Astyanax mexicanus: one gene and its partners. The protein of the gene in region 2 interacts with the protein of the main gene of each other region in a pairwise test. Links are inferred from orthologs where the notes say so. Each region holds a gene or a part of one and is shown on either strand. Other genes may lie near its edges.

Region 1 (8,801 bases), on a different chromosome or scaffold from region 2:
TAAGATAACTTAAAACAGTAAATGAAAACTGAATATAATAACTTTATACATTGCAGAATTTATTTTTGTATGAAACAGAATAAAAAAAGGTAAAAAAAACAGAACATAGGGTTTAGAGTACAGCATACTATAAGTATATAATATAAATCACTATAAAATGTACAGATTTATACCAGTCTAAACGGTAAAACTGCATATAAACCAAACATGAACAGTATAACATTTGTAGTCTAAATAATATATTTTTAAACAAATTCTAAACTGAATAAATTGTATATAAAATATTATATTAAGTATATAAAGTATACATTTATTTGCATTACAAATACAACAGTAATACATTGAGAGTACGCTGAGCATAATAAGCATAATAATACCTTCAGGAATTTCAGAGACAGACTCCTTTACAGCAAATCCATGTAAAAGACAAAGAGATTAAACAAATTGATCAGGAATATACTCTATACAGTACTGTGCTAAACATCTAGGGTTTCATTATATTTGTTTAAAGCTGCTTCAGGGTTTCTTAGCAATAAATGTGTTTTTGCCAGAAAAATACTACGGATGCAATGAATATAAAAATTATTTGGCCAAAAAACAAACAAAAAAAAAAACATGTAGCACAATAAAACTTGTATATATGTTTTTTAAGAAAGCATACAGCTCACTTCAACCTTATCAGCAGTTTCAGTCAAAGAAAAATTTTAAATCTGAAAATCTACAGAGATTTCCTCTAGCGGGCTTACCTTAGCCCTAGCCTAGAGTAGCACTGCTGAGATAAATTCAAAATGGAATATGAGAATAGCATTTATGCGGTAAATTTATGATCAGAAAAGCACAAATGGCATAAATTCATAATAAGAATAGAACTGCTGAGGTAAACTCATGATCAGAATAGCACAAACAAAGTCAATTCATAACAAGAATACCTCTACTGAGGTGAATTCATGATCAGAATAGCACAAATAAAGTAAATTCATAACAAGAATACCTCTACTGAGGTGAATTTATGATCAGAATAGCACAAATAAGATAAACTCATAATAAGAATATAACTACTGAGGGAAATTCATAATCAGAATAGCACTAATTAGATAAATTCATAATAAAAATAGCACTGCTGAGGTAAATTCATAGTCAAAATAGCACTAATGAAGTAAATTCATAATAACAATAGTAATGCTGAGGTAGATTCATAATCAGAATAGCACTAATGAAGTAAATTCATAATAAAAATAGCACTGCTAGGGTACATTTGTGAACAGAATAGATAAGTATGCTGAGATATATAAAACAAAACGTTAAAATGTTTTGTTTTATAATAGTTTTTTTCTTTACAATACAACTAAAAGTATATTTAGGCATCTTTTATTCATTCAATGGTGAATTATTGAAACATTATTTAAAACTGTAAAAAAAAACATCCCCTTTATTGGTCAATTGTTTGATATTGTTGAATTACTGTTTTGGACAAAAAAAAACATATCAACTCATCCCTAGCCTTTAGTTACTGATATGTTGTGTGAAAAAACACACATTTTGTTCTTAATTGTGTTACAGGTTTAACTATAAAAATAATAGACATTGTTTTTTGGCTTTTCTTGTTCTTTCTAAAATGCAAAAACAAGAATGTGAAACATTCAAACACATAAATCTATTGCTGTGTTGTTTATGAAGGTCTGATCTGAATGGAAGGCTTATCATATATTTAATCTGAGTCATGGTTTTATACTTCCTTATTAACGTCATGATCAGCATTGCTTAAATGCTTTCATTTTCAGATTCCCCATTGTCTTGTCGTTTCTAATAAATCAGGAAAATAAAGTTTATTTGATTAATGAAACGTCAGGTTGGACTTCCCCTAGAAAAACGAGCTCCTCCGGCAGGTGTAACAGTGTTTTGCAACAAAGATAAAAACAGAGAAGTCACCTGGACGTCAGCGGCTTGTGCTGATTTGCTGAGTTCAAGTTTTTCCAGTTTGGGTTTGGGTAAAATAGGAGGTTTCATTTTTTTTAAGGCTGAGCTCTCGTCCTCCAGACGTTTCACCGTCACGTCAACAAGTCCCCGTCCTTTAAAAGCCACTTGGTGAACTCTCTTCTCCAGTACTTTATTTAATTCTGAGGATTAGACAATGATAATGCATTATTTGACACGGTTCAGACTTACAATTTATAAATACGACACAATAAAATTATTAACTAACACTGATCCACCATAACATTAGTACCACTGACAGTTGAAGTAAAAAACATTTCTCCCAAATTCCAAATATAATTATTGTCATTTAGAGCATTTATTTGCAGAAAATGAGAAATGGCTGAAATAAAAAAAAAAACATGCAGAGTTTTCAGACCTCAAATAATGCAAAGAAATTAGGGTTTATATTCATAAAGTTCAGAAATCAATATTTGGTGTAATCACAGTTTTTATGCATCTTGGCATGTGCTCCTCCACCAGTCTTACACACTGCTTTTGGATAACTTTATGCCGCTCCTGGTGCAAAAATTCAAGCAGTTCAGCTTGGATTGATGGCTTGTGATCATCCATCTTCCTCTTGATTATATTGCAGAGGTTTTCAATTTGGTAAAATCAAAGAAAAATCTGAATTTTAAGTGGTCACTTATTTTTTCCAGAGCTGTATATGGACATGTGCATTAAACGCTGAAATGCAGTCATACATTTTACACTTACCATTTATCTCCAAAAGTGCCCAAACACAACAGATTCCATATTTACTCACTAAATATCAGTATTTTCCACATTAAAGGACATTTATATTGAATGTTTAGCGTGTTTTTTATTTTAAAGCAATTGACTCCTAATTGTTGACTAACTGACTAACTTAAAAAAATCATCATATTTGTCTACCAAAATAATCATTATTTGCAGCCCTAAATAATAATAATAATAATAATTTTAGTTGACCTCAATATTATCTGTAATGTTTTTGTGAGCAGGAAAGCCCATTAATATGAATGAGCTGATATTTGGCTTTTTTACATTTTATTTATTTATGATATTTCTTAAATTACATTCCTATCCCAATGAAATTTAAGAGATATCCAATATTCCAATTCCAATATTCTTAGCTGTTAAAAGTTCCATCTTCTTTAAAATGATGTAATTGTATTGTTATACAATTATACAATACCTAAAATATTGGCATAAAAATGGTTGTTAAAAGATTATTAGTATTAATAGCTATTGTGATAAGACTAACATATGATAGTGTAAGCAACTGAGTCAGGACATCAAAATATTAGGCAGGTCACGTGGGGTGTTCCTGGTATGCAGTGATGACTGAACAAGTAACGCCTCATACATTACAACTTAAAGAACATAAAGGATCTGCTGCTAATGTTAGTCTTAGTGCCAGATACCACAGGCCTCCTCTTTTAGTTTTTTTTTTTTGGAGTTTAAATGGTTTTTGCCTTAAATGGTCAGATCTGTTGTTGTAGATCAAGGGGAACCTACTCAGTATTAGGCAGCTGGTAATAATATTATGGCTGACTGGTATGTACAAATTACACAAGAAAAGTCTCTGGGTGCCACCATGTTGAAAATAATTTTAAACTAACAATTTTTAAATCATTTTATGAATGAAAGGTTAGAATAGGGGAACATATTGCAGAATTAATTCTGTGTAAATGCATGAAATTGAGCTGTTGCTAAAAAAAACAGATCTATAATAGTCATGCATTTAAATGAATAACTACCTGAAGGTACTGTGTGTATAAACAGTGTTTTTAATAAACTACCTGCTCACTTTCGAAGTTCTCCGTGCCTCATTTTAAAATCGGGGCCTTCAGTGTGGAGCCACTTTGAGCTAGTTATTGTTGTAAAAATAGCAATTTCTTTGCTGTATTTTGGAATGCTGGAGAAAAACAGTGCTGGGCTATTTGACAAAAGTTTATACTCATTATCATGTTTCACTACACCTCAAGTCCATTTCAAACTGTATTTCTCCTTTAAGATACACAGCAAATTTGGCAGTGGTAAATCAACACTTTAAGGGGGGTCAGTTCTCCAGACAGGGATTAAGCCTAGTCTCTGACTACACACTATTTCACTGAAGATTTTCCATTGAAAGGAAAACATAATATACGAATAGACTAAATTTCACAGTCTGGAATACTGCCCTTAGTGTTAAACTATTGTCTAACAATGTTCATTTAACCCTTTTAGACCTGAATTATGTTCTCGGGATGGAAAAATATAGGAAGACTGTTTTGTGTCTGTAAAGCACACAAAAAACTATTATCGACACTAGTATCCTAATATAAAATCCATATAAAATAAATCCAACTAACCCAGATTTTTAAACATGATACAAAGTGTTCTAAGTCTCTTGTACTACTTTGCCTCATTGGTTCTATAGTGCTGACATGCCCTAATGTCCAAGTTGCTGTTTTTTATTTTTTTCAGTGCAGTGGGTGGGGCTAAGCTACTGTTTCACTGGCTGGTTTATGATCTTTTCTGATGGACAGGTGAACAGGTCTCAATTAATGTTCTGTTCTGTTCTAAAAAAAAAAAAATACATTTGGAAAGAGAAACTACATGATGTCCATTGTAACTGATGCAGGGTCTGAAAGGGTTCAATCTAGCAGTCGCATTGTTGATTTAACACTGACAAGTTTTGATTACACACTAAAAAAACTAGATAAAAAAGTTACACATTTCATAATTGTACCCTCAAAGGTATAATATTGGTCTTTACAGGATCAGATGTGTTCCGTCTGAAGTACAAAGTCTTTTCTAACAGCAGGAAGTAGAGATTTTTACCAGTTAACCAGCTTAAAAGTACATTCTGTATTCTGAATCACTGTACCAATAAATAATATATATTTTAATTATACATTTTTATCATCAAGTCCTTGACACATGTTCAATTGATGATAATGTTTATAATTTTTATAATCTTTACTGGTAACGTTACAAAAACATGTTTACAAAAAAGTCTTTCAGTTAAAGATACTCTGTTGTACCTCAATATAAGGTACTGCCCCAGCAACAAGTACATTTTTTTCTTAGTAGGTATGTCAAATCAAATCAAAATATTTCTAAATAATTTGGAGTATTACCCTAGTCAAGAAAAGAGGGTACACCTCCAACGACTCCAAAATTAGTTTAGTCCCATTTACTCTTCTCTGAGAGAAAATAGTAGTTTTGGCTTTATGAACGTACCTCCTTCATCCATGTAGATAAGTCGAGCTTTCCTCTGATCTTCTGGATGCTCCTGGATCTCCAGGATCTCTCCTCCAGACCGTCTCTTGTTCTTGAAGTACAGTTCTAGTTTGGACTTCACACGGTGAAAATCATCTGGAAGACCCTCCAGCTCCAGTGTTTTCTCATCCTGACTCTGTTTTCTTTTGGCGGTCTCCATCTCGACGTTTAGAATCTCAGATAAACTCACAGAAATCTCAGTAAGAACTTTAAAAATAACTAAAGTAAAGTTGAAGACAGTCTCCTGAACTGTCCATTTCAGACAGCTGTCGGAGGAGCTCGCTGAAGCCCGTCCGAACTGTACTGTACTGTACTTTACTTTACTTTACTTTCACTTTTACTTCAGGACACTCGCCTGCTTTTCCAGGAAGAGAGACACAACCCGAACACAACCACAAACAGCGGGGAGCTACGCCAGATAAATCCCATTTTTACTCGTTATTCGCGCATTTATTTGCGTTTCTTGTGATTTTAAAGGGGAGACCAGACCTCGGCAGAAATCTGTTAGAGATGACGGATACAGGGGAGCAAGTGAACGGCGAGGTAAGCGTGTTTTGCTCGTCTCGGGATTCGCCCCATTTAAAAAAAAAAAAAAAAAAAGAAAAGCTACGAGCAATAGTCGTTAATCATATACCAGTTTATTAAAACGTGTAGCAATTGATTTATTTTTATCATACGCTCAATGCGATTTTAGATACGATTAGATACTGTCGCGCTTTGTAACGTCTTTATAGCCTGTGTTCTGTCGAGTTGTGCTACCCTGTCAAATCGTGCTACCTTAGTGTATATTTAAACGTAAAAATACACAAATAGGCACTGTTTAAGAAATATGCTTCCAAAGGTATGCTTCCATAAGCTTTATCTAACTCACTGTATGAAAAAAAAAAAAAGTTACGGCAATGAGACCTGATTAGATTTTTAATCATAAGATTTTAATCATAAGATTAATCATAAGATTTTTAATAATAAGATTTTTGTATAGCTTATTATTGGTATTTTTTATTCATTTTTGCTATTTATACTTGTCTATCACTTAAACAAAGAATAACAGTGAGTTGACGTTAAAAGAAAAATCATAAATCATAAAAAACCGTGGAAACATTACAAAAAATGTGAGTCCGCGCAGGCGCACTGGAGAAAAGAAGCATATATCGATGGGAAGCACAACTCGACAGGACACCCCCCGGTTAGAAATGTCGGCGAGAGAAGACCGAGTGAGCTACGTGAGAGTAGCTACGTGAAATACTGTATCCAGTTTCTTAAAACGTGTAGCATTTTTTATTATGCGCTCAATGCGATTTTTGATACTCTCGCGCTCCATAACGTCTTTAGAACGTATAGCTCGTTTCACATCAAAAAAGGGTCAAATTCTTAACTCTCAGGTGTGGGTTTTCCCAGTATATTATTTAGATTTTCCGGTCCACCTTAAAAAGTCGAAATACCAATAATGCGCCAGTAGAGAGCGGGATTGGGCCAAGACAAATTTGGCATTTAAGAAATATACAGCTCTAGAAAAATTGATTGATTGATTTTAGCAAATTGAAAGCCTCTGGAATATAATCAAACCATCAAACCAAGCTGAACTACTTAATATTTTGCACCAGAAGTGGCACAAAGTTATCCAAAAGCAGTGTGTAAGACTGGTTGAGGAGAACATGCCAAGCTGCATTAAAACTGTGATTAAAAACCAGGGTTATTCCACCAAATACTGATTTCTGAAGTGATTAATTATAAAAATGAACTTGTTTTCTTTGCATTATTTGAGGTCTAAAGCTCTGAATCTTTTTTGTTATTTCAGCCATTTCTATTTTTTTTTTTTGCAAATAAATGCTCTAAATGACAATATTTTTATTTGGAATTTGGAAGAAATGTTGTCCGTAGTTAATAGAATAAAACAACAATGTACATTTTAATCAAAACATATACCTATAAATTGCGAAACTGAGGCTGAAGTGGTCTTTTAATTTTTTTCAATACATTCAGAGAATAAATGGCCTGTTCTGCGGATTTCCAGTTGCCCTAATTCCAAATGACTAAATAATCTGATAAAGGTAACACCAAATTATAATAATATAACTATTACACTGTAAATATCCTAAAGGACAATGAATATTATTGAACAATATTTTTTATTATTATTATGACCCTCTGAACTTTAGCATTAGATGCCAAAGTTGTCTTGCTTGGCCCAATCCCGCTCTCTACTGGCACAACATTGTTATTTCTACTTTTTAAGGTGGACTTCAAAATCCGAATAAGAAGCTAACTTCAGTCTCCTGGTTTTACAAAAGCTGCTGAGCAAATACCTAAGTCTTAGATGGATGAGCGAGCATTACACTGAAGACTCCATGTTTATAGGATTTACTTAATGCTAAGATACTTCTGGAAACCTGGGTCCAGTTCAGTAAAAGTCAGTGTGCAATTTTGGAACACTTCTGTTGGTCAGTGGTCAAGATGTTGATTGACAATCTGAGAAATATGGAGATTTTTAAACTTCATGAGTTTTGACTGACTTTTAGTTGTTCTCCTTCTTTTTTCAGAATAATAGATAATGGCTATAGTGGTTTTAACAATATTTTTTATCTATTTTGTAGAACTAATAACATCAAGTTATATCAAGTTTGTCTTATTTTATAGAAATAATAAATTGAACTTGTTTTCTTATCATTTTTGACATTCTTTTTGGAAATAATTGTTTACCTAAATATTAACATTCTTTTGTCGATTTACTTTATATAAAAATGACTATTTATTAATCCTTGTGAAATAAAAAAAAACTTTTCTGTATATTTAAATAATTTTCTCATGATTTAAAGTCTTATTTATAATACTTTTCTATTTTCACTGAAAATGAGGCACCTGTGGTTTTGTATATATTATCTGAATAATTTCTGAATCAAAGACAAAAGTAAGCAGCATTTGGTTGTAAGAGGTTAATAAGTATACATGTATCAGCTTAAGGTGCATCTATGTGTTATATCAACATTATATATTAAGTTGGAATTGACTGTGGATTTTTAAGGATGTTTTTAATTTTAATTATATCTTTTTAACACAGTGTTTTTGATGTTTCTATCATATAGCAGTTGCAGCAGATTGCTGACGCTAGGGAAGAGCTGGAGAAATGGAAGGTAATGGAAGCTAACAACACTTGGCCTGTATTCTGTAAGCTGAACAATATTTACTCATGGATCTGATTTGGTCAGGTATTTGTTTAATACGCTTGTGCTCCTATCAGAAATTTGTGGAAGCTGCAGATACAGAGAGGTCCAGGTTGATGCTGGAAAAGATGGACTCAGAATCTATGAAGAAACAAGCCCAGCAAGAAACAACAGAACTGTGGAATGCTACAGAGCAGCTCACAGACAAGTTCGACAAAACAGTGCAAGACATACAGGTATGCTGTGATCAGGTATTAACTATTAAATGCTGTCAATGTTAATGCATTAACGCACACAATTAATCTGGAAACTTTAACAGATTTATTGTTAAGTTACGCATTAATCACATGACCAAATTTACAAAGCCTGGTGATGTATTAGAGGTTTTATTTGACCATATAACAGCTTACTGTCGAG
Region 2 (8,054 bases):
TAAACATAAGCCGTGATCACAATAATTTATCAGCACTGTTTAAAGATAAGGTTACCATGTATCCCCTAAGCTCTGATTACAAAACAACACATGCTTTGGTTCCCAACACCACAGCTAAAGCATTCCAGTGTTGTCAGTTCCCACTGTCCGCTCTACTTTCACAGCATCATAAATCCTCAACACCTGTGCCCCCAGCAGGGAGGCATTTACCAGGATTAAGACACTGTTACATTAAGACAAATTCCATCTCTTTGGCTGCCAATAGCCTTGGACTATTCTATGATGCTAAATAATTACTGTCCTAAAGTGATATCTTAAGCTTATTTACGGCATATTAATTTTTATTAAATGTATTAAAAGATCCTGCAGACTTACGAGAGAATGGGAAATGTGATTCAATAAATATTTGAGCCCTTCCAACAAATACTATAACTACATGTTAACCATTTCTTTCTTACAAGAGAAATCAGTTATTTTATTAACTACTCCATAATATTTCCTTAAAAGAGCCTAATGAAGCAAGTTTTTTATGTGAAAAATAAGAATTCTTCCAAAAAATGAGAAATGCTCACAACAGTCTGATCCTGTGTAAAGAATGCATACTGTGAGAGGGCTTTATCTCCACTGAGAATGAAGGCGAGCGAGGAAGGTGGAGGAAGATGAGCTCAAAGAGGGGTGTGTGGGAAGAAGAACAAGGAGGATGATGAAGGTGGGAGATGAGAAAGGAGGATGAAGGTTATGTGATGCATGCAAAGAACAAAAGGTTGGTGTGGGACATGATGAGAAATTCATGACTATTGCATCTCAAAAACTTAGGAGAGGGTGACGCAATGATGGAGGCTACTGTAGAACAGACTGTACTGTAAACACATTGGACATTTTTAGCCTCGGCAGCCTAATAGATTGTAAGTCGCTTTGGACAAAAGCATCTGCCAAATGTAATGTAATGTAAGGTAATAAAAAATAACATTTCTAAACTTCTCTTCTTGCCCAATTCATGCCCTCATATGTCTCTTTATGTTCTCCCTTCTTGTTGTTTGTGTACAGAAAACTGTGGCCATGAAGGATACATCAGCTGCATCCTCAAAATCACTAAATGCTGGCTGCGTTTCACAGCTGTATATGAAATCCTTTACTTGGAATAGCTGCAGCCTAGCTTTGGAACAGTTTTTTTTTACTTCTGTGTGAAACGATGAGGCTGAACTCCTGCAGACTGATAAGTAAGTGGATAAGTGTTAATGTATGGAGTTTTGTGTCATTACAAAAAGTGTAAATGTCAAATAGGTTGTTTTTCTCTTTGCAGTTTAATATCCCTTTGGACACTGTATGGACTTAATCACTTTATCAGTGTTTTGCATTGTACATTAAAGCAATGAAACTTTTTTTTTTATCATATGGGTCTTATAAAGGAGCAACGACTGGAAAATGCTTTGGGTAACACTACTTTTTTATATTTGTCCAATATATTATTAACCCTTTATCCATGTTTATTTTAAGCTTGATGTGTGCTGGGAAATGAAAGCTGTGTGCAGAGGTCTGTAAGCTGCCTTCTGCTGCACTGCAGCCAGTTCGCTGAGGAGTGCATTACACGACAGCAGCTTTAGTGAAGCTGGTCAGCCCACTCTGTCAGTGTCAGCTGGAGGCCCTTTTTGTGTTTCAGAGCAAAGGAAATCTCATAGAGATGTTTGATGAGAAGCATTAACCCGGAATAACCGGCATTTCTGGGCCACTGTTGGAGAGTAGAGCCTATCAAAGCGGCTCCAAACGTGGCGAAGCAGCATGTGTGAGATGCAGTGTGTCGCGGCATTGCAGCGAGGCGGATGGCTCATCAAAGCACACTTGCAGTGCTTCATGGCCTTTAAGCTTTTAACAAGCCACCCCTGTCATGCCACAGTAACAACACAAAGACAAGATTATTACAGCACCACATAAAAGTGGTCGCTGCAGACACTTCCAGACTTCCATATAGAGGACTGATATGCCATAAACCTGAGCTGATAGGCTAATGCATGATCTCGTCCTCTCAACGCTCATCTCCACAGACAGACACCTTTGTTTGGTTACAGCCGCTAAAATATCAGCTCTTAGTCAGGAGAATCTGTTTCCCCGCACAAACCCCATACATTTTTAATGAGAGCAAATGGAGCCACGCATTTAGGAGTAGTGTGGGATTCATGGCGCACATGTAACTCAAGATAAATAATGCAGTCTCTACGATTGCAGCCATTTCCCTAGAGGCCCCACATACTCTCATCACCCCACTCAACAGGAGGCCTTTCTACTTTGCAGTATATCTTTCAACAATTACACTCTATAAAAAATAATGAAATAAATGGTTTCATGGCATGGGCATATGGTTCCTGGAAAAGGGCTTTAATTGGTGTAGAATATTTTTACACTATATGGAGATTTTCTAGACCACATTTAAGCATGTTTTAGAGATAAAAATGCTCTACCAACAAAACTCTAATTAGCAAACTTAACAAAAAAAAAACAAGAAGACTGGGAAGTTCCACTTTATTTCAATATCCAGTCATTTCAGTCAGAAAGAAGCTGACCAAGACTTTACATGTTCTGTTCGTTTTTCCAAAGTTGTGCAAATACCAGCTAATTACTGTAACATCCAACAGCTTGAAATCTCTAAAAGTATATTTGACATCTTACTCCCGCCTCTCAAGTGAGTCTTAGGATTCTCCCACAAATTGATTGTGGTTCCCTGGCACCTAACATACACAATCCCAGAAATTGGTACACTGTATATGAACCACTTGCACAGTTTTTGGGAGTGATGGAATGAGCAAATGAGTGAGAGAGGTTACAGAGAGCAACCTGATTGGTCTGATTGGTTTCTTGCTCAGTAGATCTACTCTGGAGTAGCTGAACCATGAAACAGAGAATCGTTCCAGAACAAATCATCCAATCATCCAATTGTAGCTTAAAAATAAATAAATCAGTAAAGGGTCTAATGTTCTTTTGTAGTAAACGATCTCAAATCAAAAAAGTTGAGTTAGAACAGCTAATTAAAATAAAAAAAAATCTGCTTTCCAAACTCGAATAATGCAAAGAGAACAAGTTAATTTTCATTTTAATCAACAATACTAATAGTTTAACCCAATAAGCATTCAGAAATCAATATTTGGTTAAATGATCATGTTTTTTTGATGCTCTCCACCAGTCTTTCCCACTGCTTTTGGGTAACTTTATGCCACTCCTGGCTCAAATATTTAAGCTTTAGCATTGTTTGATGGCTTCTGACCATACATCTTTCCTTTGAAAATTGGTCCAATTTTCAGCTTTGCCCAATACCTGGTCCTCTATTGGTTAGACAAAGTCCTGGAGAGGCGTACAAGCCAGACTGTCCTTGCGTCCACTGTGAAATTTGGTTGAGGATCTGTGATGATCTGTGCGTTGTTCAGCAAGGCTGGAATCAAGTCACATTCAAGGTTCTCCTGCATCCAACAGGACAATGCACCATGCCACACAGCTAGGTCAATTAAGGTGTGGATTAAGGACCAACAGATCAAGACCCTGCCATGTCTAGTCCAATCTCCAGATCTGAACCCCACTGAAAACCTCTGGAATGTAATAAAGAGGAAGCTGAATGGTTAAAAGACATCAAACAAAGCTGAACTGCTTGGATTTTCGCTTCAGAAGAGGCATAAGGTCACCAAAAGCAGTGTGAAAGACTGGTGGAGAGCATGCTAAGACATATAATAGCTGTGATTAAAAATAAGGAATATTCTACCAAATATTGATTTCTGAATTCTTCTTAAAATAAAATGTTAGTATTGTTGTTTCTAAATGAATATGAACTTGTTTTTTTTTGCATTATTTGAGGTTTGAAAGCACTTCACCTTTTTTGTTATTTTGACAAATTTTATGCAAATAAATGCTCAAAATGACAATATTTTTATTTACAATTTAAGAAAAATGTTGTCCATAGTTAATAGAATAAAACAACAATGTTCATTTTACTCAAACATATACCTATAAAGAGTAAAATCAGAGAAACTGATCATTTTAAAGTTTTAAAAACATATTTTGTTGTGGGTTGAGACTGAGCTGTTGTAACCTGTCTTACACATTTAACCTATATCGTACATCTCAAACACACACACACACACACACACACACACGCAAGAAGAACAGGCACGAAGCGTGCCTAGAACAGGGAGTACTGATCTGAATCAGGACGCTGTGTTCACTGAGTTGTGAGTCAGGTGTTCACCGGTTCATCCGGGTCTGTAGGCGGCGGTACTGTCACGAGTCTGCTCGTCGGCCGCCCGCTGTGTGAAGAGCCGAGAGAGAGCAAAACATCAGAGAGAGGGAGAGAGAGGAGCTGCAGCAGGTAAACTACAGTCATTTACTACCGGAGTTTAACTACAGTCTTTACTACAGGAGGGTGACAGCTCGAGCCCCTGAGAGAGCAGTGTTCTCTGGAGTGGGCGCCGGGTTTAGAGTCGCTCCAGACTCGCGTTTATACTGGATACACCAGACCCTGAATCCCAGTTCAACAACAGCTAACCTAACCTAGCCACCACAGCTACCAGCTCCGGAGAGGGGCAGCGAGCTCTGTTAGCGTAGATAAATCAGTGAATTCTCTAACATAGATCTCACTAAACGTTCCACTAAACCTCGCTTCAGTCCAGTTTAAAGCGGCTCTGCTTCATAAACCAGTGAAGGAGGTTCGTTCGTCTGGACTTCGGCTCTAGGGGGTGTTGTAGGGGTGCAGGCCAGGTTAAAGGATTGAGGGTATAAACATCAGATTTCTCATTAAAAACAGGCCACAACAGAATATGTATATATGTGTGTGTGTATTTATAATAATTAGGGCCGTCAACGTTAAAACGTTAAAGCGTTAAAGCGTCAACGCAGGTGATTAATTTGAACCAGTTTTGCGCCATAATCTGTCCCACCCAACGCGTGGATTTTATTTCTGAAGCGGTTGTGGTGATAATGTGATGTCTCTATCTGACCCAGCTATCAAATATAATTATTTTTATTGTGCTAACTGCCCACATTTGGGGTAATATCACGAGACGAGACGAGACACGACACTGGGTTCACAAGAACGAGACGAGACGAGAAAAAAAAATGAAAGAAAACGTAAAAAATGAAAAAGTTTTATTTGACAAAATCATATAACACACACTTAACAGACTGGTTTCTCTCCCATTTTGATTCTATAATTAATAGAAATAAGAATAAAGAAAAAATAAATATAAAAAATAAAAATAAAACTTTTCTAGGTCTTATATAGTGCAAACAATAAGTGCAAACCACAACCAGTCATATTAAGCCTATGGTTTGTGTTTTTTTTCTCCTAAATCTCTTGTAATTTAACTATGCAGTGTTTTTTTAGGCAGTGTTTTTATTATTATTTATTTTAAAATTACTTTACATTTTTCAATATTTGGACATATTGATTGGAATACAAAAATATTAAAATAATCCAAAATAATTTATATATATTTAATTTTATTTAAAGAAATCTCAAAGATACTGAAATGAATACTCAGACAGTTCCACTGCTTCAAAGCTCCACTCCCCAATTTATTATTTTCCAGTTCTTCACTTCTTAACATATAACTTTCACTTGCTTCATGTCTCATCCCAAGTCTTCTTGTTTCTGTCCAGGATGGAGTTCGCCGAGCTGATAAAGACCCCCCGAGTGGACAGTGTTGTTCTTCACCGTCCTTTTCTGCCAACAGTGGAGGGAACTTTGTGTCTCACTGGCCACCACCTCATCCTCTCCTCTCGACAGGACAATACAGAGGAGCTCTGGCTGCTTCATTCCAACATTGATGCCATCGATAAGAGGTTTCCTGTGACATTAGTTTTCTTTTTTTTAGGGCAGTAACTGATTGCGTTTACTCATACTCAGTATGGGAAATTTGGGGGAAAAATGAATTTGTTGCACAAGGGAACATGATTTATTACTGGCTGCAGATGCAGTCCATCAGCCAATACATATTTGCATGTATTTTGTTTATGAAAGGGAATGCTAGGTTAATGTGGCTTACTACTACTGGGCTTGAACTGTCATCACAATAAACCCCTTTGCCTTCAAACATAGCCAATCCCTACCTAGTCCTACAGTATTCAGCAGTGGCACATCTTTGCCTTTATATTGTGAAGAGTTAGTTGGCAGAATGTGATATAAAAATGGTGTTGTAAATTAATAAATGATTTAATCCTAGACATATGTGCCTAACGCTGTTAAAATTAGAGATGGTCAAGAAAGAAAGAATACATTGCATGTAAAAATCCTCTGTTTTAGGTTTGTTGGCTCTCTAGGCACAATTATTGTGAAATGCAAGGACCTGCGAATTATTCAGCTGGACATCCCTGGCATGGAAGAGTGCCTTAACATTGCCAGCTCCATTGAGGTGGGTTTAAATATTTACTTAGAATAACTGTAGTCAGACTTGTCATTATTAATCACTGAGACAGTTTAATCATTGATTTGGTCTGAGACCCTGACCTTCTTTTGGTGTGTGCCTGTAGAGTTTATGCTTACACAAGTTGAACAGGCTGGTGTTTTTATCACGGGGTGTCATAAAAAAAAAAAAAAACTACATGGCCATAAAACAGAAATATATTTCCTTATGTTTACATTGAAAGTCAGTGTATCAGTGTATGTGAACAAATTACAGACCTGACAGCTTTTTGATAGGGTATATAATTTTCTTATAAAATTTATTTTTCAGGTGGTCACTGAATTAATCATTAAGTAACTGGTACAAAATACAATGATTACTAATGTACATATTAGATACAATTTTAGCAAATACATTGTGAAAAATATTGTTGTTTGATAAAAGGATTGGTATTACTGGTCTTACATCCAGTCTCCCCTTCTTTAGGCATTGTCCACGCTTGACTCTCTCTCCCTGATGTACCCTTTCTTCTACCGCCCTATGTTTGAGGTCATTGAGGATGGTTGGAACTTGTTCTCACCAGCGGAGGCCTTTAAAGACCTGGAATCAATGGTAGAGTTTTATTGTTTGTGAGGACAGTATGGATATGCTTTACTATTCAAAACTTGTTAATCTCTGTTTGAAAAAAGCAACACAGAATAATAAGCCTAAATGTACTTTTTCCCTGTTTCCTGCTGACAGACAGATGAGTGGAGACTTAGTGAAATTAATAAAGACTTTGCCGTTTGTCCCTCCTACCCATCACTGGTGACTGTGCCCAAGGACATAGATGATGACACTCTTTGCAAAGCTGCTGCATTTCGCCATGGAGGACGCTTCCCTGTGCTCAGCTACTACCACAAAAAGAACGGCATGGTCAGTTAGGAACTTTAACCATTGGTTGTTTTGTTTAAGGTCGAATCAAAAACGAATGGATGTAAAATATCTCCTTCCTTGTTTTTAGGTGATGATGCGAGCAGGGCAGCCGCTTACAGGAACCAACGGCCGCCGCTGTAAAGAGGATGAGAAACTAATCAACGCTACACTCCGTCCAGGAAAGCGTGGGTACATCATCGACACCCGCACCATTGCAGTAGCACAGCAGGCTAAAGCTCGTGGAGGCGGGTTTGAACAGGAGGCCAATTATCCACAGTGGAGGAGAATCCACAAAGCTATTGAGAGGTGAGGGAACGCTGTTTACGAGAAGGATAGTAAGTATATAAGAGGAATGAATGTAGTTTCAGCTGATATGAATCGTACTTGCATTTTTTTTGACAGAACACTTGAAGAAGAACTAGAAGTGTTTGATCATTGTGATTCATGTAATTTAAAAATGGCCGTAATAAAACATGGCTACAATAAATACAGCTCTGAAAGAAATCGAGAGACCACTTCAGTTTCTAAATCAGTTTCTCTGATTTTACTATTTATATGAATATATTATATATATATTATCCTTTAGAGAATTTATGTGCAGAGAAATGGCTGAAATAAAAAAAACTTCAAATAATGCAAAGAAAACATTCAGTTCATATTTATAAAGTTTTATAAATAGTTCAGAAATCAATATTTGGTGTAATAACCCTGGTTTTTAATCACAGCATAATTTGATCTTGGCATGTTCTCCTCCACCAG
Region 3 (7,251 bases), on a different chromosome or scaffold from region 2:
AGACTATAGCTTTACATAATTTGACAATTTTAGAAAATTCAAGTGTTTTTTGTGCCAATCTGAATGAAGTTACCCACAACACACCACACCCAGTCATTTTCCATCTCATTTGAGTTATAATCTTATGAAATATAAGAGTTGAAATAAAATATCCAAAATCACACCAAAAGGTACGATTATAGCCTTATGTAATTTATCAATTTTAGGGAATAATTAAATCTGAATAAATCTATACACAAAATCTATACACCATTCCTACACATTTCTCCAGTCATTTGAATTATAATATAAAACATTAAGAATTGTTTTCTTTTGGTTGATTTATTTGTGTAGGAATTTGTTTTCATTTCTTGTTTTTGGTTTAGTTTTGTTGTTTTTTTTCTTTCATTATTTATATATTTTGCTGGGTGCCTTTGGTTAATAATGGTCATTGTAAATGTCCTGAGCTCAGGTGCTCCAGTCTGAGACCATTTTTACATCCTGTATACACTTAGAAAAAAGGGTTCTATATAGTACCAAAAAAGGGTTATTTGAGTGTTAATGGTTCTATGAAGAACTATTACCTTCACCAAAGAACTTTTGAAGAACCCTTATATATATATATATATATATATATATATATTTATTTATTTATTTATTTATTTATTTTTTAACATTTAAATAACCAAAAAGTGGTTTGTTACTTAAGGGCAACCTACACCATGCCATGGAGGGTATAGATTTCTTAAATGTACATGATTCCTTGTTTTTCTTCATATTCAGGATTACTTCAGTATTATATTTACAATGTAGGGCATAAAAATCATAGAATTAACATAGAATAAGAAGGTGCATCCACATTTTGACTGTTAGATTATATGTATGAATTTCGCATATAACAACAACGCAGGACTCAATCTTAGAGTAATAAAAATAACATTAAAGTTTAATTATAATCTTTGGAAACATATAAAACTGCACATGTATTTACAAACCATATTTAAACATTTCTTCACAGTATTTACAGAGTTAACAGTAAGCAGGAGAGATAATACAGCAGAAGAATGAAAGACTAAAACACTAGAAGGGAGATCTGCTGCAGGTCCGAGTGCAGCTGCTCGGCGCTCGGTCTCAGGTTCGGCTCCGCGCTCCAGCAGCAGCTCACCAGCTCTGCGCACGCGCGCCCCGCGGAGCTCCGGTGGAACACGTCCCGGTCCAGCTGCGGCCGCAGACCGTACGCTACCACGGCGTAGATGACGCACTGCCGCTCGCCACGGTACGGCACATCGCGCGTGAGCAGCTGCCACAGAGTGACCCCAAACGAGTAGACGTCGGCGCGCGCAGTCACACGCTCGCCGCGGAGCAGCTCGGGCGCGCGGTGCGTGTACGTGCCGCCGATCTCAAGGGCGCACGCCGCGTGGTCTCGCCCGAGCTGCAGCGAGCAGCCGAAGTCCGCGAGCTTGCACACGCCCGCGCGCGACACCAAAACGTTGGCGGGTTTTAGGTCCAGGTGCGCCACGCCGTGCGCATGCAGGTGACGGAGCGCGCACACCACGTCGGATGCGTAGCGCACGCACAGCTCGGGGGGCAGCGGCCCCGCCCCGTAGATCACCTGCTGCAGGCTGACGTCTCCCGCGAACTCCATCACGATGGTGCCCACGCGCCCCTGATCATCTTCCTCTTGGTTCTTGTCCCCAGTGCGCGCACAAGCCGTCGCAGTCTTAATTGTAGTCGTCGGCATCATCGTCGTGGCCGCAATCACGCGCACCAGGTTGTCGTGGCGCAGGTGCGCCGCGTTCAGCTCGGCCCAGAAGCTCTGGCGCGAGGCCAGCGTGTTCCTCGCCCGCCGCACGCGCTTTACCGCCACCGTCTCTCCAAAGTACGTGCCTTTGAACACCATGCCGAAGCCCCCGCAGCCAATGGGCTCCAGCTCGTGCAGCTCGCGCCACTGCACCGCCGACGACCAGAGTCTCTGAGCGAGCTTTCCGTGGGTAGCGGTGGGCACACGCAGGGAGGATGATGCACCCGCGCGCCTGCTTAGCGGGCTGCTGAGGGTTCCGAGGTCGAGGCCGAAGCCTCGTGGCAGCAAACGGGTAACGGGGATGGGAGAAGGCATGGCGGGAGAGCAGCAGCGCCTTCTAACATTTTGGATTTGCCTCCTATATGTCACGTGCGTGCTTTTGTAGATGTCACGTGACCGCTAGGGTCAAACTGGGTCAAACTCTGTTTGTTTATTATTATTAAACTAACCTTCAAGTGTCAGTGTAACGTTTATTAATTTAATTTTCTGACAATTGGAGGCTAAATGTAAATTTACAAAAAATGGATGTAAAATCTCCATTATTTATTTTTTTTAAATGTAGTGCAGTGTACAAGAAATAAGTGTTTTCCTTTCCATTTATTTCCAGTCCATTTTTGTTTTTAATCTAAACAATGTGCCATATCACCCGTCTCAAATTGAACACATAGATATTAATCAACATGTATTTTTTTAATTTAAAAAAGAGAAACTTTGATCCTATAATCACCCCTGGTTTGCTTGATTCCAATTCCTTGCTGTAAGGGCATGCTCCATGCCCTTTATAGCATCTTGCCAGAAACAGAAAGTTTATTTGATTTTCTATTAACTATTAATTGATTAACTATTATTATTATTTTTTTATTATTATTAAACAACAAGCCTATGACTTTTATTTTGTAATACAGCCAAGCATTTAGGAAATACAACCTGAGATTGTTTACAAAGATTATCCACCAGAGGGCAGAAAACACGTAGAGATATTATGCTCTGTTTTACTGTTTTTCAGTTATTATTTATTGTAATTAAATGATATTGTTATAATTAATATATTATTTAATGGTTATTTAAGATAATTATGTTTTTTTTTACTATCACGCTGCTGTGACGATAATTTTGATGTCATAAACGTCAAAATTATCATTCAGAATCGCACACTGAAAGTCTCATCCCACCTTAAACATCAACTGTTTGTTTGACCTACTACTCTGTCCATCACACATCATTAAAACACAACCAAAAACCCACACAGACTGTTTTAGTGCTGTCTGCATTCACACACTATAACTTTGAGCTTTATATATTATTATATAATATATTAAAATACCAAGAGTGTGCAGATCTGTCCTCAAAGATAAATGTGCTACTTAGAAGAATCTAAAGTATAAAACATATGTTTTGTTAATTACATTTTGTTTAGTATATTTGTTAAACAATAAGTCTGCATATGTTCCTGTATAGATTTAATGTCTTTATATATATATATATATATATATATATATATATATATATATATATATATATATATATATATATATATAAAGACATTAAATCTATACAGGAACATATGCAGACTTATTGTTTGTATGTATGTATATATATATATACATACATACAGACTTATTGTTGTATGTATGTATATATATATATATATATATATATATATATATATATATATATATATATATATATATATATACATACATACATACACGCAACCGGACAAAAGTTTTTGAATGCCTCTATTGTCTAGTTTTCCAGACAAGATCCTTTGTACTGCATACAAAGGCGTTAAGGTAAAAAAAAAAATCCATTGCTACTTAACAGCATATTCTTTTCTGGACTTTTTTGGATTCATACCTATTAGTTTTTAGAAATGAAAAATCTGGCTTTAATTTACGTTTAATTCAATACAAACCCTTAAATCTATACCTAAAAATATTTTAGTTTCTTTGATTTTATCAAATTGAAAAACCTCTAAAACATATAATCAAGAGGAAGATGGATGATCACAAGCCATCAAACCAATCTGAACTGCTTGAATTTTTGCACCAGGAATGGCTAAATTTACCCAAAAGCAGTGTGTAAGACTGGTGGAGGACGTGCCAAGATGCATGAAAACTGTGATTAAAAAGCAGGGTTATTCGACTAAATATTGAAATATTGAATATTTCTCATTTTCTGCAAATAAACGCTCTAAAGTGGTTTATAAAATAAAACAACAAAGTTAATTTTACTCAAACATAAACCTATAAATAGCAAAATCAGACAAACTGATTCAGAAACTGAAGTGCTCTCTTAATTTTATCCAGAGCTGTGTTAAGGGCCCGCCCATATATATATATATCCCTTACAGTCCCTGATAATATCATTTAATCTTTAAAAAGTGTGACCCCACAAACAGTTCATTAGAAGGTGCTTTCCTCACGAAACTCTTATTTGTCTACCATGTTTCAGCGCAGCCATTTAGGGGCATGTTTCCATCTCTCGTTTTCTTGTTTTGATCCTCGGGCCCTTCGTGCTGCAGCTCACCTGTTACCGCGCGCTCTTACTGCGCCGACTCGCGGGGGGGTTTCCCAGCAGTGACGTAGGGGGATTTCCACCCGGTCAGCTCGGGCTAGAAGAGGCACAAAGTGAAACGAATTTGGTAGAAAACGTGAGTTATTTTGATACACGGGCAGAAGCAGAAGTACAGCAGCGCTGCAGAGACTCAGAGCCGCAGTCACCGACCTTTAGTACAGCTCCAATGAGTACATAACCCAGCTAACCGGACCTCAGCCCAGTACCAGACTAACCCTGTTTTACCAGCCTAGTCCTTCACCTGCCATGAGAAATATGAACGGACCAGCTCGCAACGGTACCCTAGGCACTGGCGGTAAGTGACAGCGAGCTAAAACATCTATAAACGTGTCGATAAAAGTCTGTAAAAGGTCTGTAAACGCTTGTTTACTCTGTGCGCGCGCTAAGGCTAGCTGTGCGCATGTAGGTTGGGAAAGACACGTTTTGTAAGAAGTAAAGTTAGCCATGGAGGTTTTATGTCATATTTTTTTCCTAAATTATACAAACCATAATAATATAGTTGTACGTTTTTGGTAGATTTTATGTAGAAAAAATATGTATTTATAAATGTATCTATTTGTGAATTTAAGCATTTTCATAAATATATCAATTCATTTACAGCACTATCCGGCTGTCTACAGTGTGTTTATTGGTATTAAAAAGCGTAAATTAATAATAATAATAATAATAATAATAATAATAATAAACGATGAATGTTAGTATTTATGTCGTTTTGACATAGGCGTGAAATCCAAGTCCAAAGATTAGCTATAAATCCATTCCAGGATTTTGTTCCAACCGCCTAAGAAAGCGTGGCTCCTGGGCGCTGCAGCGCAGCTTTCTTTGGCAGTTAAGACAAAATCCTGGAATGGATTTCTAGCTAATCTCTGGACCTGGATTCTGGGGCGGATTTTACTTTTCTGGTCCCGGATTCACTACTATTAGTTTTAAAAGTGAAAAATCTGGCTTTAAAAAACAAACCCTTAAATAATCAGATATAAATTAGTCTCTAATTAGGTGTATAATGTTTATTTTTATTGTTATTATTATTATAATGTGCTTATTATTAGCTAGAATAGGTAACCGAGCTAACTATGCCTAGTCATGGTGCTCCGTCTTTTCTCTATACTAGTTCCTACTATTGACGTTACACAGCATTGCGTGATCTAGAAGAGGCAAATCAGCTCAATTCAATCAATTCACATGCTGTATATGCTTTATTCTACCTCATCTGGGACTGGTGCGGTTTATTGTGTAGGAATAGAATGGTGTTGTTGTCTGTTAGCCCGCAGGGCTGTTAAGACTTTCAGTTTCACTTTCCTTGTCTGTTAGTCTGTGGATTTAACTGGTGCTGTTTTTCTCCTCCACAGCTCTCGACCTTGGTAAGTGGACCATTTTTATCATATCATTTTACATTTAATATTATACAGTATACCAGCCTCTATTATTTTGAATGTATTAATAAACGAAATTGAATAATAATAATAATAATAATAATAATAACAACTTCTCACACAACTCTTTCTGTACCTGCACTTTACTCTATTCATCTAGTTCATCTATTGGACCATTTCCTCACTTCCACACACGCACTATAGATATCTGCATTTTTCAGTCATATTTTTTAGTCATATTTAACATATTTCCGTGCAGTACCATATGTCTGTATGTCTATAGTCTGTAAGTTATTGTGTGTATTGTGTATATTATGTATACTGTAAAGTTAACTATATATTTCTATTTTAACTTATTATTGTACTTTGTTGTAAACATTGTTCTCTACATACTAGTGGGAACCTGCACCCAAGTCTTTCACTCACATGTACACCTGTACTTTGTGATGTGTAAAAAATACAATTTATTGAATCTTGAACCTAATAATAATAATAATAATAAAAATAACAAGAATGTAAGGCCTAGGCTAGTTAAATAAGAGCAAATTCTTATTTGTAAAAAAAAAACATTTGTGTAATAGAGGCAGATCAGTTCACATGAGTAAACAAATTAATACATTTAAAACAATAAAGCGCATTATATTAAATCGGTAAAGTGCATAGTGGCATACACTCTCAGAAGCTCACATTAATTCAGACTTCCCACAATAAACATAAAAGAGCAAATTAAAATAAATAATTATATAAAAAAATACCATCTCGACACACTATACAACATTCAGGAACTCCGCCCACATTGCTTTTAACCCCCACCATATCTACTAACATAACCCACACATCAAGCCCACAAAACTTACTTCATCATAAACACTCAACACAAAATATATACAATTACCATGACATGTATTTTAACATTTATTTTCTCTTTAATACCATAAAATGAATTAAACTAGAAATCACACTAACACATTCATTTTATAAAGTGATTTTTCCTTACATTTTAATTGAATACTAAAGTGTATTAAATTCCAGACTATGAAGGAACACATACGAAATCATGTAGTAACTTAAAAGTGTTGAACAAAAATACTAGGTGGTCTTTTATCCGGGGTGCTGTTAATCTGCGGTTTCCGATGATGAACTTATCATTGTGACTGCACTTGAGAGTACTTTCTTTCTTTCTTGACATTTTTCAAATTGACTGACCTTCATTTCTTAAAGTACCTGTAATTTTTGCATTACTTAGTTGAGTCTTTCACATCATAATATGGATTAGAACATTTACAAGTTCACTTAGGTGTATCGTTAATACGTACAGTTTTAATAATAAGAAAATAACAATTTAATTGCACAATTTAACATGATTAATCATGATTAATCACATTTTTAATAAATATTTTAATAATGGATATTTAAATGTAAAATAAAATAATACACATAAAAATGGAAACATGTAGCCATATGAAAATATACCATTAGGGATGTATCAGTGTGGAAATTTTGGACCAATAATGATATCCA
Region 4 (7,908 bases), on a different chromosome or scaffold from region 2:
TCCTATACACTAGAATAGGAGATATTAGTTTATAGACACCCTCAGTAATCACTCCTATACACTAGAATAGGAGATATTAGTTTATAGACACTCTCAATAATCACTTCTATACACTAGAATAGGAGATATTAGTCTATAAACACCCTCAATAATCACTTCTATACACTAGAATAGGAGATATTAGTCTATAAACACCCTCAATAATCACTTCTATACACTAGAATAGGAGATATTAGTCTATAAACACCCTCAATAATCACTTCTATACACTAGAATAGGAGATATTAGTCTATAAACACCCTCAATAATCACTTCTATACACTAGAATAGGAGATATTAGTCTATAAACACCCTCAATAATCACTTCTATACACTAGAATAGGAGATATTAGCCTATAAACACCCTCGATAAACACTCCTATACACTAGAAAACAAAACAACTTTTATATCATACAAATATAACCTAAGTAAATATATAAAGCACTATTTAAATTATCATTTCATTTATTAAGTGAAAAAAAAACCTATCCAAACCAATTTAGCCCTGTGTGAAAAAGTGTTTTGCCCCCCATAAATTAACTGCTATTAATCACAAGTTTTTTGTGAAGCTGATTTCAATTTCACTACTAACCACAACCAGGCCTCATTACTGATTCCAGACCTGTAGAATCAAGAAATCACTTAAATAGAAGCTGTCTGACAACAATAAAATCAAAGAACAATAAAAGCAGATAACCACAGTGATTCACTATTATTCACTAATGGAGAAAACATGGTGAACACTGGTGAACCTTCCCAGGAGTGACCGGCCGACCGAACAAAATTACTCCAAAAGGGCATGAAGAACTCATCCAGGAGATCCCAAAAGAAGCCAGAACAACATTTAAAGAACTGCATTTCTCATTTAAATTATATTAACTCAGGTTATATTTGTCTGTAATTAAAATGTGTTTGTTAATCGGAAAAAAAATTATGATAAAAAAGCAAAAACACCACAAGAAATCTGTAGGAAGGCGCAAATACTTTTGCACAACACTGTATATACAATATAAAAGGAGATAATTGTCTATAAACACCCTTAATAAACGCTTTTATACGCTAGAATAAGATATATTATCATTAGAATGATTTGTAGTATTTATTCAGTATTCCTCTGCTGCACTGTTTGCTGTGTCTCTGAGAGAGGGTGCATTTGTTTCTGATTGAGCTCCTGCATAATTTGGGGGAAAATAAAAGGGTCCAGGCAGCAGAATTTCGCTCATTAAAGCAACACGTGCTTCCTTTTAATAGCGGCGCTGTTTTACCACCACACAGCGAGATCAGATCAGTCCAGCTCAGCCAACACCGGCCAGATCTGCCTTCAGTCCAGTTCAGTAAACATTAAAAACCCACTGTTTTCCAAACAAACAAACGATCAAATTGATATATTAGGCGCTCAGTAAACTACTTAAAAAAAAGTTAATGTGCTAAACATTTGCTTACACGCAGATTAGAGCTATCTGGGCATCTGCAGACCCTTAAAAAGTCTTAAAAAATCTTTTCTTTATTTAAAAGAAAGAAAGACCTTAATTTCTCTTAAAACATCTTCCAAATTTGATATGCAAGTTAGTTTACTGATTTAACAGCAGAATGAACCAATTGCATTATTTAATGCTCTAAAGGACTAAAGATGTTCTCAGATACGCCCAATACTTGTTTTTATCTAGCGTAGATGCTACTGTATGCATGGGGAAAACTATAGACTTGGGGTTAGATAGGATGCATTATTTTGTGTTTGAACATGTATATATAAATATTTGTTTGTCAGATAATACAGCAGCGTACTGTTTAGTTTGTAAACTTAAATTTGGTGTTGAGCTTATTGCTGTTTTGTTTTTTGTTTGTTTTAATTGTATTAATTTTATCTCTGAGTGATATTATAAATCTAATTTACCCATAGGTGCATTTGCTCTTAGAAATCTAAGGCTAAATTAAGATGATTCTTACTGACCATATATTTTCGCCTTTACCTAAAATCAACTGGGAGAAAGGTTTTCCTACTCCTCCATGCAGAATTCTTTCAGCTGCGTGATGTTTGACAGGTTTCTTGTATGAAAATCACCCCACAGCATCAGAGTACAACCTGATCTAAAGAGTAATTTTTACAAATCTGACTTAAAAAGACAATTTCTGGATTTGTACATTTGTGTGTATAAATTCACCGCCTCCTTTTTATGCTATTTTACAGTAAGGGTTATAAACTGATGATTCTGGGGGAATTGTTGGACACTCCAGATGGAAAATTACAGTTTTTAAAGTAGAGTTTTTTTAAAGAAATGAGATGGAAAATGGGTGTGGCTTTGGGTTGTGTTATTGAAACATGCGGGGATGGGCGGAGCTACATACACATCATACTGCAACCAGCCAGCAGAGGCGCTAGACCTGTACAGTTATTCATTAGCATTCATTCAATTATAAAACAGGGTTACAGTGAACACTGATGTCTTATGCATGTTACATATTATGTTCTGTGTGTTATTGATTATTAAATATTAAGTGTATGAAAATCAATAATCTATAATCTATAAATCTACACAGAATTCATATTGATATCAGTCAGCAGGTTATAAACTGCATGACTGAGCCGAGGGGGGGTGGAGATGGTGGTGGTGGGGGTGTTGTTTTAGTGTTAAAGTAGGATGTCCCGAGGTCACAGGGGTCACCTGAGGACAGGTGATATAGGACACTGTGCCTGTGGTCACCTGTGGTGAGCCACATTACTGAAATACCCCGTATACCACCCCCAACACCCCACCCACCACTGCAGGCTATTTCAGCCGAGGAATTCATAACGGCTTCCTCAGATACCAGGAAAATCCTCCTGTAGCTGCAGCATCTATATATACAACTGTTTTTATTTAGCATCACAGAGGATTCCGCTATCAACAAAGCAGCTTTTACAGTTTACAGATACACCTGAAAGAAAAGCTGCTACAGTGTTACAATAAAGTACAAGGCTTTTATTTGATTTCAGACAGCATTAAATCAAGATATTTCATATTTATTAAGCCCTATCCTTCCTCCTGCCTGGTTTAAACAGCAGCAGAGCTTCTGAATATATCTACACTGATGGGCGTGGTGTTCTGGAAATGAGGTGTGTTCAGGTACATTTCTGGAGTTTTATCTTGTTTATCTTGGTAACAGAAAACACAGGAGCTCCACTGACTGAATACAACCTAGACAGACGCCAACAGTCAGACGATCATCGCTATCTCGGTAACACAGGCGCCGTGCCGAGCCGAGCGTACACCCCCACTTATTACACACACATGAACACACAGCAGCACAAACCCAACTTTTACATCAACAATAAACAGAATAGTAAATAAAATAACATTGCTGTTCCCGTAAATGAGCTGCTGGAGCTCCTTCACAGCGTCAACCAGCAGCTCAGTTTCCTCTGCTGAGAAGAGTTTGTTGAACACGTCCAGGTAGCTGCACCGTTACAATAGCAATCCACCAAAGACAGAGCTCACCTGATCTACTCTTAAAGAGAATGATGAGCAAACAGATGACACTCTAATTGGTTTATTTATTTCATATTACGCCCAAAATTAATTAAACACACCCATGATTAATTAAGAGAATTATTACATGACTTTGCTTTGCATTTAGAGCTGTGCAAGGTGTACTTACTTTTCCCGTCGTTACGATAGCAAAGACACACTGACACGCCCTAAATCAAATCAACAGTTTGCTTACAGATAATAATATTTTTAATAATATAATAATGTTGAAACATGAAATACGTTGGGTTCATACTGTCTGCAATGAAATGAAAGTTAACCTTTTTTTATTTTGACAATATTTTGAGTGTTATATATATATATACATATATATATATATGTATATATATATATTTATAGAAAATTTCAGATTAATTTTAATTTTAATTGCATAATGCTGACTGATTCTTGTTTTTTTATTGATGTTCAACAGAATTAGCTGTTTTTCACTGTTTTAAAAGCTGTTTTAAGCAGATTTTAAGCAGATTTTTGGAGTTTACCGGTTTAGAGACACGTGGCCTGATTCACTTTTACTGAAAACAGGCCCGGGAGTGAGCTGTGGTACTGATCCAAAAGTGTGTGTGTGTGTGTGTGTAAGAGTGTGTGTGAGGGTTTTCTCTGAGATTACTCATTTTGGGAGTAGAGGGCGGGGAGTAAATGTGGGAGGGGCTAGTGTAGGAGGCGGGGGAGTGGGTGGAGCCTGCACACAGGCTGCTCTGGAGCTCAGAGGGACCTCCCAAACTCAGCAGAGCCCTGGATCTGAGCGCCCGGACTGGATGTAGCTGATCTTCCAGAGCCCTGAGAGAGCCCGGGGGAATGGCAGCCGGGCTGTAGAGGGTCGTACCCGCCCTGCAGGAGTGTGTGTGTGCCCGGGGAGGTGTGTGTGTGTGCCCGGGGAGGTGTGTGTGTGATGAAAGCTGGCATGAGGAGCTCAGAGAGGAACACTTGAGCAGCTCCAGAGGAACTCCAGTCTGTGTTCTGTGTCTGAAGTGAGGGATGGACCTGCTGCTGGTTCTGGTTCTGGTGCTGCTGGGGCTGTGTGGCAGTGCCAGGAGTGCGTGGCACAACCAGCGCAATGGGCTGGCACACACACAGGTTGGCACGGCGCCCCGGGCGGCCAGCAGACACAGGTAAGATCATTTTACAGCTCAGAACTTCTGGGTGGGAGCTCTGCTGTACGGGCTGGAGCTCATTTACTCACTTACTGAGATGTGTGAGGTTCTGTTTGTGGTTCTGTTTGTGGTTCTGTTTGTGGTTCAGTTTGAGGTCCAGTGTGGTGCAGAGTGAGTTATGTTCTGATTCACACATCAGAACTACTTTATCAGACTTTATGAGGTTCTGTTTGAGGTTCTGATGGATTATATTTAAGGTTCTGAAGTTTGAGATTCTGTTAAGGTCCAGTCTTAGGTTAATTTTGAGGGATTTTTTAAGGCCCTGAATGAGATTCTGTATGAGATTCAGTTTAAGGTCCAGTTTGGGGTTCTGTTTGAGAGTTAATTTGAGGTTCTTTTGCAGTTTGATTTAAGGTTGTGTTTGTGGTTCTGCTCAATGTTCTGTTTGAAGTTGTGTTTGAGGTTCAATTTAAGTTCTGTTTTTTGTGGTTCAGTTTTGTCTAAGGTCCTGTTTAAGGCAATGTTTCAGTTTCAGATTCTTTTTGAGGCTCTTATTAGGTCCAGTTTGAGGTTCTGTTTAGGCTGGTGTTTGAGGCCCTGACTAGGTTCAGTTTGTGGTCTAGTTTGAGTTCAGTTTAAGGTCTTTTTTGAGGTTCTGTTTAAAGTCTTTGTATCAGGTCCTGTTCAAGATTCTGTTTGTTGAGGTTCTGTTTGAGGTCCAGTGTGAAGCAGTGAGGTATGTTCTGGTTCACACACCAGAACTACTTTATCAGATTATGAGGTTCTGTCTTAGGTTCTAAACGCAGCCCTGTTCATGGTTCTGGTGGATTATATTTGAGGTTCTGAGGTTTGAGATTCTGCTTAAAGCCCAGTGTAATCCTCTTTTTGAGTTTCTGCATGGTGTCCAGTTTGTGGTTCTGTTTGAGAGTTAGTTTGATGTTTTGTTTGAGGTCTGATTGGGTTCGGTTTGAGGTTTGATTTGAGGTTGTTTATGGTTCTGTTTGTGGTTCTGTTTGAGATCCAGTGTGATGTAGAGTGAGGTATGTTCTAGTTTTTACACCAGAACTACTTTATCAGACTTTATGAGGTTCTTTTTGAGGTTCTGATTGTGGTCCTGTGGCCCCGTTCATGGTTCTGATGGATTATATTTGAGGTTCTGAGGCTTGGGATTCTGTTAAGGTCCAGTATAAGGTTTTGAGGTCCTGTTAAATGCCACGTTTGAGGTCTGGTTTGAGTTCAGTTTAAGGCCCAGTGTAAATGTTTGTTTGAGGTTCTGTTTGAGGTTTGATGTAAGGTTGTGTTTGTGGTTCTGCTTGATTTCCAGTTTGAGGTTCTATTTGAGGTTTTCTGAGTTCTGTTTGAAGATGTGTTTGAGGTTCTGTTTGAGGCCTTTTTCATGGTTCTGGTGGATTATTTTTGAGGTCCAGTCTAAGAATCTGTTTAAGGTCCTGTTTCAGTTTCTGTTTGAGGTTCTGCTTAAAGGTTCCGTTTGAGGTCTTATGTGAGGTTCTGTTTGAGGTCTTATGTGAGGTTCTGTTTCAGATTCTGTTTGAGGTTCTATTTAAGGTTCTGTTTGAGGTTCTGTTTCAGTTTCTGTTTGAGGTTCTGTTTGAGGTTCTATTTAAGGTTCTGTTTCAGTTTCTGTTTGAGGTTCTGTTTGAGATTGTTTGTGGTTCTGTTTGAGGTTCTATTTAAGGTTCTGTTTGAGGTCTTATGTGAGGTTCTGTTTCAGTTTCTGTTTGAGGTTCTATTTAAGGTTCTGTTTCAGTTTCTGTTTGAGGTTCTATTTAAGGTTCTGTTTCAGTTTCTGTTTGAGGTTCTGTTTGATGTTCTATTTAGGGTTCTGTTTGAGGTTCTATTTAAGGTTCTGTTTCAGTTTCTGTTTGAGGTCTTATGTGAGGTTCTGTTTCAGTTTCTGTTTGAGGTTCTGTTTGATGGTCTATTTAGGGTTCTGTTTGAGGTTCTGCTTGAGGTTCTGTTTAAGGTCCAGAGTGTTCCTCTAACATTCTCTGATATATGTTCTGTTTGCACCGCAGACCCACTTTATCGGATCAGAATCATGAGTACTCACACTGTTTGTACCATTTTATAAAACTGTATATAAACTGTATATAAACTTTATATAATCTGTATTGTGGCTGTATGTGGACGCTCTGCTTTACCTCACACTGAGAGAAAACTCGACCTGACAGCACATACAGCACTAAATACATCACTGTTAGATGTGAGACACTGATTTATAGCTCTTTTATGAATCTGATCACCTCTCTCTGGAGTAAAGTACACGCCCACTGTGTAGTAAACGCCAGCATTAATGCTGGAAATAGCTCTGGTGTTTTAGATACAGGAAAAAGGAACTGCTATTATAATCAATATTAATAACTACAACTCACCATTATGAATATTATCTGAGTAATTTAACCCAGTATATAAAAGAGCACTTCAGTTTCTGAATCAGTTTCTCTGATTTTGCTATTTATAGGTTTATGTTTGAGTAAAATGAACATTGTTGTTTTATTCTATAAACTACAGACAACATTTCTCCCAAATTACAAATAAAAATATTCTCATTTAGAGCATTTATTTACAGAAAATGAGAAATGTCTGAAATAACTAAAAAGATGCAGAGCTTTCAGACCTCAAATAATGCAAAGAAAACAAGTTCATATTCATAAAGTTTTAAGAGTTTAGAAATAATCAATATTTGGTGGAATAATCCTGTTTTTTAATCACAGCTTTTTCATGCATCTTGTCATCATGTTCTCCTCCACCAGTCTTACACACTGCTTTTGGATAACTTTATGCTGCTTTACTCCTGGTGCAAAAATTCAAGCAGTTCAGTTTGGTGGTTTGATGGTTTGTGATCATCCATCTTCCTCTTGATTATATTCCAGAGGTTTTTAATTTGGTAAAATCAGAGAAACATCATTTTTAAGTGGTCTCTTATTTTTTTTTTACAGAGCTGTATCTATATACATGGGTGCAGAAGTTGTACTTAAGTAGAGTAGAACTCAATTACTAATTGATGATTCATAAATAAAACTTATTTTTGTTCAGAATTAGCTTTATATTTTCTGCTAACGAGTATTATTTTCATTATTATTGAAAGTAATTATGTTTATCAGCAATTATCAACCACGTTATTTTGAGTATCAGCATATAAAACTCAACCTGAACTGAAGCTGCAGTGAAAACCTGGAAAAGCATCATAAAAAAAGAAGAATGCAAAAGTTTAGGTCAATAAATGAAT

The links.
Region 1: the proteins of mtmr9 (region 2) and nmi interact in binary tests that used the Homo sapiens proteins (3 or more experiments, as listed by UniProt). The two-hybrid records come from large-scale screens. The link is inferred for Astyanax mexicanus from reciprocal best matches to the Homo sapiens genes MTMR9 and NMI.
Region 3: the proteins of mtmr9 (region 2) and mos interact in binary tests that used the Homo sapiens proteins (3 or more experiments, as listed by UniProt). The link is inferred for Astyanax mexicanus from reciprocal best matches to the Homo sapiens genes MTMR9 and MOS.
Region 4: the proteins of mtmr9 (region 2) and emilin1b interact in binary tests that used the Homo sapiens proteins (3 or more experiments, as listed by UniProt). The link is inferred for Astyanax mexicanus from reciprocal best matches to the Homo sapiens genes MTMR9 and EMILIN1.

What each region holds. Positions count from the first base shown.
Region 1 is NC_064418.1:15,940,111-15,948,911, reverse strand, and holds the start of nmi (N-myc-interactor), read left to right. Parts: upstream 1-5,112; 5' UTR 5,113-5,184; coding exon of another isoform or gene 5,185-5,383; 5' UTR 5,384-5,423; intron 5,424-5,569; 5' UTR 5,570-5,733; coding exon 5,734-5,766; intron 5,767-8,306; coding exon 8,307-8,354; intron 8,355-8,461; coding exon 8,462-8,620; intron 8,621-8,801. Other genes in the region: protein mono-ADP-ribosyltransferase PARP14-like, read right to left, coding at 378-402, 1,930-2,117, 5,185-5,383. UniProt on the Homo sapiens protein: Acts as a signaling pathway regulator involved in innate immune system response.
Region 2 is NC_064408.1:71,153,583-71,161,636, reverse strand, and holds the start of mtmr9 (myotubularin-related protein 9), read left to right. Parts: upstream 1-4,240; 5' UTR 4,241-4,348; intron 4,349-5,637; 5' UTR 5,638-5,638; coding exon 5,639-5,820; intron 5,821-6,280; coding exon 6,281-6,389; intron 6,390-6,866; coding exon 6,867-6,992; intron 6,993-7,121; coding exon 7,122-7,295; intron 7,296-7,383; coding exon 7,384-7,601; intron 7,602-8,054. UniProt on the Homo sapiens protein: Acts as an adapter for myotubularin-related phosphatases. Increases lipid phosphatase MTMR6 catalytic activity, specifically towards phosphatidylinositol 3,5-bisphosphate and MTMR6 binding affinity for phosphorylated phosphatidylinositols.
Region 3 is NC_064425.1:6,569,997-6,577,247, reverse strand, and holds mos (proto-oncogene serine/threonine-protein kinase mos), read right to left. Parts: upstream 2,159-7,251; 5' UTR 2,096-2,158; coding exon 1,052-2,095; 3' UTR 899-1,051; downstream 1-898. Other genes in the region: transcription factor RelB, read left to right, coding at 4,604-4,652, 5,707-5,718.
Region 4 is NC_064421.1:627,025-634,932, reverse strand, and holds the start of emilin1b (EMILIN-1b), read left to right. Parts: upstream 1-4,289; 5' UTR 4,290-4,542; coding exon 4,543-4,676; intron 4,677-4,682; exon of another isoform or gene 4,683-6,510; intron 6,511-6,618; exon of another isoform or gene 6,619-7,908. UniProt on the Homo sapiens protein: Involved in elastic and collagen fibers formation. It is required for EFEMP2 deposition into the extracellular matrix, and collagen network assembly and cross-linking via protein-lysine 6-oxidase/LOX activity.